2 linked regions of the Diceros bicornis minor genome follow. The protein of the gene in region 2 interacts with the protein of the main gene of each other region in a pairwise test. Links are inferred from orthologs where the notes say so. Each region holds a gene or a part of one and is shown on either strand. Other genes may lie near its edges.

Region 1 (3,744 bases), on a different chromosome or scaffold from region 2:
CACTTTAGTAAAATGACCGATTTCTGTGTTAAAAAGATCATTATGAGTGCTATGCGGAGAATGAAATAAGGAAGGGGTGGGTGGAAGAAAACTAGAGACTGAGAGCAGTTAGCATGCTATTGCAGCAATCAAGGCAAGAAATGTCCTGGTCTAAGTAAAAAGCAGTGGCAAAAGATTCAAGATATTTAAAAGGTAAACATTTTAAGAACAATTGATTCAATATGGAGGATAACAGAGAGGGAAGAGTTGGGGGCAGATCCCGTGGCCCAGCGGTTAAGCGTGTGCGCTCCGCTGCTGGTGGCCCAGGTTTGGATCCCAGACGCCCACGGATTCACCGCTTGTCAGGCCACGCTGTGGCGGCGTCCCATATAAAGTGGAGGAAGATGGGCACGGAAGTTAGCCCAGGGCCAGTCTTCCTCAGCAAAAAGAGGTGGATTGGTATGGATGTTAGGTCAGGGCTGATCTTTCTCACCAAAAAAAAAAAAAAAGAGAGAGAAGAAAGAGTTAAGGATGTTGCCTAGGTTAGATAAAAGGCAAATGAAAGTTTGTACCTCCTGCCCCTCTCTCCCTATTTAATTGAATCAATATTTATTATGTAGTTGATAAATAGGGTAGGAATTTCAATTAATGGGTAGAAATAACGTAAGAAACAATCATAGGACACATATGCTACAAGTGCCAAAATGCCTGCTACAAATTCATAGATGAATTCAGAAGAGACTGCTGAAGACTGAGAATAATTCGTGGAATTGAAATGTTAGAGTCTTGAAAAGTAAAGAACCTCCACAGAAGAGGTAAGAACATCTAGGACTGCGCTGTGCAATAAGGTTGCCACTAGCCACATGTGGCTATGAAACACTTGAAATGTGGCTACTCCAAATTGAGATGTGAGTTAAGTGTAAAATACACAATGGATTGCAATATGGAAAAAAAGGATGCAAAATATTCCAATTTTTTATATTGATTACATGTTGAAATGATACTATTTTGTATATATCAGGTTAAATAAAACACATTAAAATTAATTTCACCTGTTTCTTTTTACATTTTAAAATGTGGCTACTAGAAAACAAAGTTACATATAGTTTCATATTATATTTCTATTAGAGAGGACTGTTCTAGAAGAAACAGTATAATAAACATAGAGAAGAGTAAACTTGTTGAATTAACCTGACTGGAATGTAGGCTTAGGATTCACAAGAGAGAAAAATTAAAGTTAGGGCTGAAGAGGTTGGAAGCAAGCAGTACGCAGGATGTGAATGAAAGTGTCTTCAGAATGGATTTTAACAGCACTTAGATTGCTATTGAACATTTTTGAGCAAGGAAGTGCCATTTAGGAACCATGAAAGTGAAATCTTAGAAATATTAACCTGTCAAGAATACGTAAGATGGAAGAGTCAAAAGCTCAGAGATTCTACCAGTTTAGAGGCATGGCAGGAAAAATTCTGGTCTAATACCTTGATTTTACGGAGTTGTTACTCGTGATCATCTGGAGCTTTTTGTTTAGTCTGTAATTTTTTACCTAAATTCAAATTTTCTACCTGGAAGAGAACGTACTGACTGGGCAACACCAGCAATTTGGTTCACCACAAATTTAGAAATTGAGTGTGTGGAGAAAACAAACGTTTTATCAGCATAAATGGCACAAATGATCGTTCCCGAGGATCTGACCACTCACGCACAAAATGATTACGTAAATAAGTAAACATGATAAATGCACACTGAAGCAAGGAAAACTTTTTTGGCCTGGTGGTTTTGGAGCTCTCCACAGCCATCATGGCATTAAAAGATTACTTTAACAAACACACACAAAATCTGGACAGAAAACAGCAAGATTTTTGGAAGGCTCAATTATTAACTTGCTGGAATAGCAGGTTACTATTAACCTAACAAGAAAAGCAAGACCTTGGTTTGAAGAGTCAACACTAGAGGTTCCTGTGGTTGTTTTACAACATCTACTGATTACAAACGCCATTTCCAGGCACCTCTCCAACCCCTGGCCATTTCTCGTTCTTCTTCCCCATCCCGGGGGCAGCTGTGGGTGTTGCAGCAAGTTCGGAGAGGCCCGGGAGCGCTTTGTTCAACGCACTTCTCGGCGGAACCTGGGCCACGTGTCCGCCGCCTAGAGGGGCCGCTGCAGGGAGACCCAGCACCGCCCCAGGAAGGATGCCGTCCGCGCGAGCCCGCGAGCTCAAGGCCGGGGGACGCGAAGACCGAGGAGGACAGGGCGGCCCCGGCGTACTCCTATGGAAGCCTGTTACTCACCCTCAGCAGTCGCCATGATCCTGCGTGGGCTCGGGGCCGCGGCCGCGCTAGGAAGAGAGGCAGGACTCTGGAAAAGAGGAGTGGCCAGAGACGCTCACAGACACGCCTCCGGAGCGCCCACCCGCGCTCTCTGCCAGCACCACAGCAAGGGCACAACCCTGGGCCTTTCCGCAGACACCTAGGAACTTACACTCCGGCAGCGAGCGCTTCCCCTAGGTTTCCCGCCGCGCAAGCGCAGCAACGCAGACCCTCCCCCCGCCCGCGCGGGCGCTGTGGCAGGAAAGGTGAAATGTGGCGCGCACTGGAAGCCCCTCCCCATTCTACAGCAGCTCGCGACCCGGGCCCCATTTCCGCAGCGCGTGCAGGTCACAGATTGGAGCGTACCAAGTAGTGACGGGCGGGGAAAAGCCTGTGGGGAGGGCACGCAAAGTTTATATCTTCTGGGAGAGAAATGATGTTAACCCCGCTAGTCTCATCACCCCCGCATTAGGCTCTGGAAAATAACGGAGATTTCCACGTGCAGAAAAATCAGTTCCCCTAGGCCTCTGGTGGAGGACTAGCTCCACCCCACAGAATCCGAGACTCCGCCCTCAGCCGCAGAGCCTCTCCCTCCGTCCTCGCTCATTGGTGGGCCCGGAGGGGGCGGGGCAGGGTGATGGGGGGGAGCTAATCACGCTCTCTCAGGCAAAGCTCGCGCCGCCGCAGTAGCAAGGGTCTAACCGCTGTGAAGGAAGAAGCTCTCGCGGGCGCGAGCTTCTGAGGCGTTCGGGCCAAGCGGGCGGGTGGTTAGTGCTTAGACCCCTGCTGCAGCGGCAGGTCCTTCCACGTGCTTTTGGCGGCGACATGGAGCTGGAGGAGTTGGGGATCCGAGAGGAATGTGGCGTGTTCGGGTGCATCGCCTCAGGAGAGTGGCCCACGCAGCTAGATGTGCCGCATGTGATCACTCTGGGACTCGTGGGGCTACAGCACCGGTGAGCAGCCGGGTGAGGCGGGGGGGTGGCGGCGCGTGTGCTTCTCCATCTGCCCGAGGCGCCTCCCGCGGCCTGAACTGGCGATCTCGCGCGCGCTCCTGAGGGCCGGGAGGCCAGACCTTTCTTACCTGGACCGGTACTTGCCTGTGGCATCGACCAGGTTGCCAAGGCGTGCTCGGGGGGCCACCCTGCCTCTCTGGACTTTAGCTTGTCCCCCCAACCCCTGATGCTCCCTAGATGCCCTCTCCCCTCCTCCAGTTTGTGCATGCCTCTTGAGTCTGACCAGTTTGTAAGGCTCGGGTTCGCTTGGGCTAGCGTGGTCCGTGCTCCTCCCGACTGCTTGCTGGTTTTCCTCTCCCAGAGCCTCAGCTGCTCTTGTTATAGGCTGGTGTAGGGTGGCTGCTGGTCCAGGACCTACAGCACCTTGAGATGTTGGTGCGGAGCCTCCAAACACCACAAGCTTTTGTTTGCTTGCAAGGGCAGAGCTATTGAGCAGATTGAGGATTTG
Region 2 (3,744 bases):
GCAATTGGGTCCTTGAGCTCTGGACTCCTTGCTTGGTGAAAGGCACTGTCTCTTTTCGTACAATGTAGGGACCTGCTCCACAGTGAGGAGAGATGGAAGTGCCCCTGAGAGCCAGGAGAACTACCCTGCTCCCAATGCAACAAGATCCCTGACTGCCAACCTCCTGCCTTCCTCAGAGGGAGGCAAAGCCGTGGCGGAGAGGAGCACAGATGCCCAGCTCCTTGCCCAGTGACGGCACCTTCCTATCTGTTGACTGGCACGACAGATGATTCCTGAAGCCTCTGTAAGAGCTGGCTTTGTAGGTCTTCCTCCATCACCTTCCACCAAAAGAAGCTCTCACCCCGCACCTTCGGGGGCTCGTTTTGGATGCCTGGATTGCGAAAAGCCACTGTCACCAGCACATCCAGGCAGACGCCATCTGTATGGTCTTTTCCCAGGTGCTGCAGTCCAAGCAGCCCCTTGGTCTCCACTGCCAAGTGGTGCAGGGTCAGACACTCCTGCAGCAGCCGCAGGACAGCCATCTTGATGCCACCTCTCTGCTCCATGGGGGTGAAGCCACAGGCAGTGATGGGCAGGTGAGGCATCCCCACTGTGCCCACCAGCACCCACACTGTCTGGACACTGGTAAAGGTAGCCACGAGCCGCTGGCAGACCAGACTGCAGGGAAGCTCTTGGGGCAGAACAAGAGGATGCCTGGCTTGCTGGCGATACTGGGCAGCTAGCTCTACCAGGTGCAGAATGTCATGGGCCCGCAGCGGAGTGGGCAGGGAGGTTCGTGGGTACCAGCCAGCCTGCAGGGATTCTGCATCTGCCTCCTCAGAAGTTTTGAGAATTCCACCTGGGGGAGATGTGGGGCATGGGGTGGGGGAAGGGTCTATGTTGAGAGAAGTGCTGGGCCTGGCAGAGCAAATGCCACCCAGGCATTCTAGCTCTGACCCAGGGGAGCGGGGAGCCCAGTCAAGTCCTCAGGCTGGAATCTGGAGATGCCAGGCTTCTATCAGCCAGAATAGGGGCTCATCTCACCGGTAGACATGCTGGGGGAAAGGTGTCAATTGCCCCCTGTTGGGCCGTACCTGTGGGGCGAGCGAGGAACACAAAGCGGATCCAGGCAGTGCCCCGCTCCTCCACAGACAGCAATGTCAGGGGCTCGCAGTGCAGCCCGGCCTCCTCCTTCACCTCCCGCTGCAGCGCCTCCACGATGGTCTCCCCGGGCTCCATTCTCCCTGCGGGTAGGTACCACGACCCACGGCACTCTTTCTTGGCCTCCTGGATCAGTAGCACCTCATCCTGAGGGGAGAGAGAGGATCCTCAACCCCACCACAGCCAGGCTGGGGATTCCAGAGGAGCAGCACAGCCAGCAGCCTTCCCTTGCCCTGGGGCCGGATTGTATCTCAGATACAGTCGCCCAATAACCCCCTCCCAGTGGACACCCTCAAATTGTTGAGTTCTCCAGGGGACTGGCCCTTGTGTGGCTGGGAGCTGCAGCTGTCTCTCTCTGCAATTCATCCCTCTTTGCATTCAGACTTCCATCTCAGAAAGGGGCTGGGACTCCTGGGAGCTGCTTCAGGGGCTGGGAATCAGGCCCCACAGTGAGGCTGCCATGTGTCCTGCACAGATTTGTGTCTGCATGTGTCACTGTGTATCTCTCACCTCCCCCGTGGTTTACAAACTGCTTGCGGCTGGTCCCCACACTGGGGTCTAGCCTTTGGAACGCGCCCCCAGCCCCTACCCATACAACTCCTACTTATGGCCCTGGCCCCGTCTAGCTGTTTGTTGTTCCAGCAACTTGTACAGGGATCAGCACCAAAAAGAGCATCACAAGGTGGTCAGAAAGTCTGAGCGTAAGCGCGGGTTGTGCCATTACTGTCCATGGGACCCAGGGGAGTCTCTGAAGCACTGGACAGATCTTTGAGAGCCCACTCCGCAGGGGGCACTGCGCTAGATTCTGGGGAAAGGAAGAGGAATAAAAATAAGACAGCCCTCCCCTCAAGGAACTGAGGCCTAGTGGGATGGGACAAAAAGGCTTCCGGGCCTCAGTTTCCTCCTCTGTATAAGGGAACAATCGCAGGGCTGGGCCTCACAAGATGTGTGCGTAAGTGAGAGTGCTTTGCAAAACTGGGAAGCGCCACCCACGAGAAGGCGGTGGCGTGGCCGGGGGGGGGGGGGGGGGGGGTCCTCTGGCCCGCCGGCGAGCTGCGCGCTGCGGGGCCCGGGCGGCGGCCGGCGGCGGACGCTCACCTGCTCATTGAGGAACACCGCCAGCACCACGTAGCAGACGTTCTTCCGCAGCCGCGCCGGCGCCAGGGGCTCCCCGGCCGGCCCCGAGTCACAGCCCTGCACGCGCAGGCCCCGGCCCGCCAGCACCGCCGCCAGCGCCCCTGCCAGGCCCTCCGAAGCCATCGGTCCCCTGGGAGCGGCCGCCCGGGCCTGCAGACCGCCGGCCGGGCGGGGCGGGGCGGGGCGGGGCGGGGCGGGGCGGGGCGGGGCGGGACGTGGACGAGCGCTCGGCCGGCCGCCCGCGCCCCCTCCCCGAGAGCAGGCCGGCGTAGGCGAACGCGGAAGCGCCCGCGAGCCCGCCGCTGACAGGCTGCGCGTGTCCGCCGCCCGCCCGGATTGGCTGGCCCGCGTCGGGCGGGGCGGGGCGGAGCCAGGCCGTACTGTGGGGCAGGCGCGCGGCCCGGGGAGAGTGGACTCGGCTCGGCTTCTGCTTTCTGTCGGTCGCTCCCTACCCGCTCCCTCCCCGGCCATCTCCAGCCGCCAGCCTCGCTGATTCTTCCAGCGCGCACTCGTCTGCACCGGTTCCGACGGTGACGTCATCCCGCCTGCAGGCTGCGGAGCGCCGCCGAGGCCAACGACAGTGACGTCACAAGCCCGATGACGTCGCGGAGGCCTGGGGCGGCGGCTTGGGTCCGCTGTCCAACTTCTGTCCTAAACATACCACTGCATTGCCCGAAATGATCACTTCTCAGATAACCTTCTTCCTTCACAAAAATGTACTCAATGTCACAGTGACAGGGAGGACAAGCTTCTGCCTTAGAGGAGATTCTGATCTAGTCGGGGAGGTGGACCTTGACATACAATAAAAAGTCATCTGAGGGTTAATAAGCCAAGTGCTAAACGATGGGTTTGGGCAGGGGTGTGATAGGCGCTCAGAGGAGGGAAGGAGCGGGCCTGGGATGGTCAGGGTGTGGCTGGCGATGGGAGGAGGGGATTTGGGGCAGAGAGAGGGCCTGGAATCCACAGGCCCAGCCCTGCGTCGTCGGTGTTCCGGCCCCCTGCCCGCTGCATTTCCCACGCAGTTTTCGGGCCCTCTCCCCTGCGGGCTGAGAGCGTTTGTAGGGCAGGGCGGTCCTGCTCCTTTCTCTTTGCTGCCCCTACACCTAGTTTGCAGGCCTGGCGCATTGAGAGCAGGGTGTGGGTTGTTTTGGCGAGCTCCTGCTTCTCTCCCAGCCTGACCTTTCCTCCGCAGTTTCCTTTAACCTCTGCTCAGGACAGGAAGGCAGGGCCAGCTGGAGTGAAACTGTTAAGCCAGCAAAGTCTGGCTTTCTCATCCTGTTAGGTCCCTCATTTCTCTCTGGCTTTGTGCACCTCCCTTCTGGGGGACAGCAGCTTGTGGAGCAAAGCATTGGACTTGGGGCCAGCTGCCTGGCAACTGCTCCCTGGCTGTCTCTGTGCCCTGGGCAAGTTGTGGGTCTCAGCTTCCTCATCTGTAGAGTAGGTTCATAACAGCTGTTCCTTCCCACG

The links.
Region 1: the proteins of NUDT18 (region 2) and PAICS interact in binary tests that used the Homo sapiens proteins (3 or more experiments, as listed by UniProt). The two-hybrid records come from large-scale screens. The link is inferred for Diceros bicornis minor from reciprocal best matches to the Homo sapiens genes NUDT18 and PAICS.

What each region holds. Positions count from the first base shown.
Region 1 is NC_080747.1:44,044,377-44,048,120, reverse strand, and holds the start of PAICS (bifunctional phosphoribosylaminoimidazole carboxylase/phosphoribosylaminoimidazole succinocarboxamide synthetase), read right to left. Parts: upstream 2,722-3,744; 5' UTR 2,650-2,721; intron 2,333-2,649; 5' UTR 2,282-2,332; coding exon 2,266-2,281; intron 1-2,265. Other genes in the region: PPAT (amidophosphoribosyltransferase), read left to right, coding at 3,109-3,236. UniProt on the Homo sapiens protein: Bifunctional phosphoribosylaminoimidazole carboxylase and phosphoribosylaminoimidazole succinocarboxamide synthetase catalyzing two reactions of the de novo purine biosynthetic pathway.
Region 2 is NC_080750.1:71,746,493-71,750,236, reverse strand, and holds the start of NUDT18 (8-oxo-dGDP phosphatase NUDT18), read right to left. Parts: upstream 2,412-3,744; 5' UTR 2,401-2,411; coding exon 2,239-2,400; intron 1,288-2,238; coding exon 1,074-1,287; intron 839-1,073; coding exon 243-838; 3' UTR 1-242. UniProt on the Homo sapiens protein: Mediates the hydrolysis of oxidized nucleoside diphosphate derivatives. Hydrolyzes 8-oxo-7,8-dihydroguanine (8-oxo-Gua)-containing deoxyribo- and ribonucleoside diphosphates to the monophosphates. Hydrolyzes 8-oxo-dGDP and 8-oxo-GDP with the same efficiencies.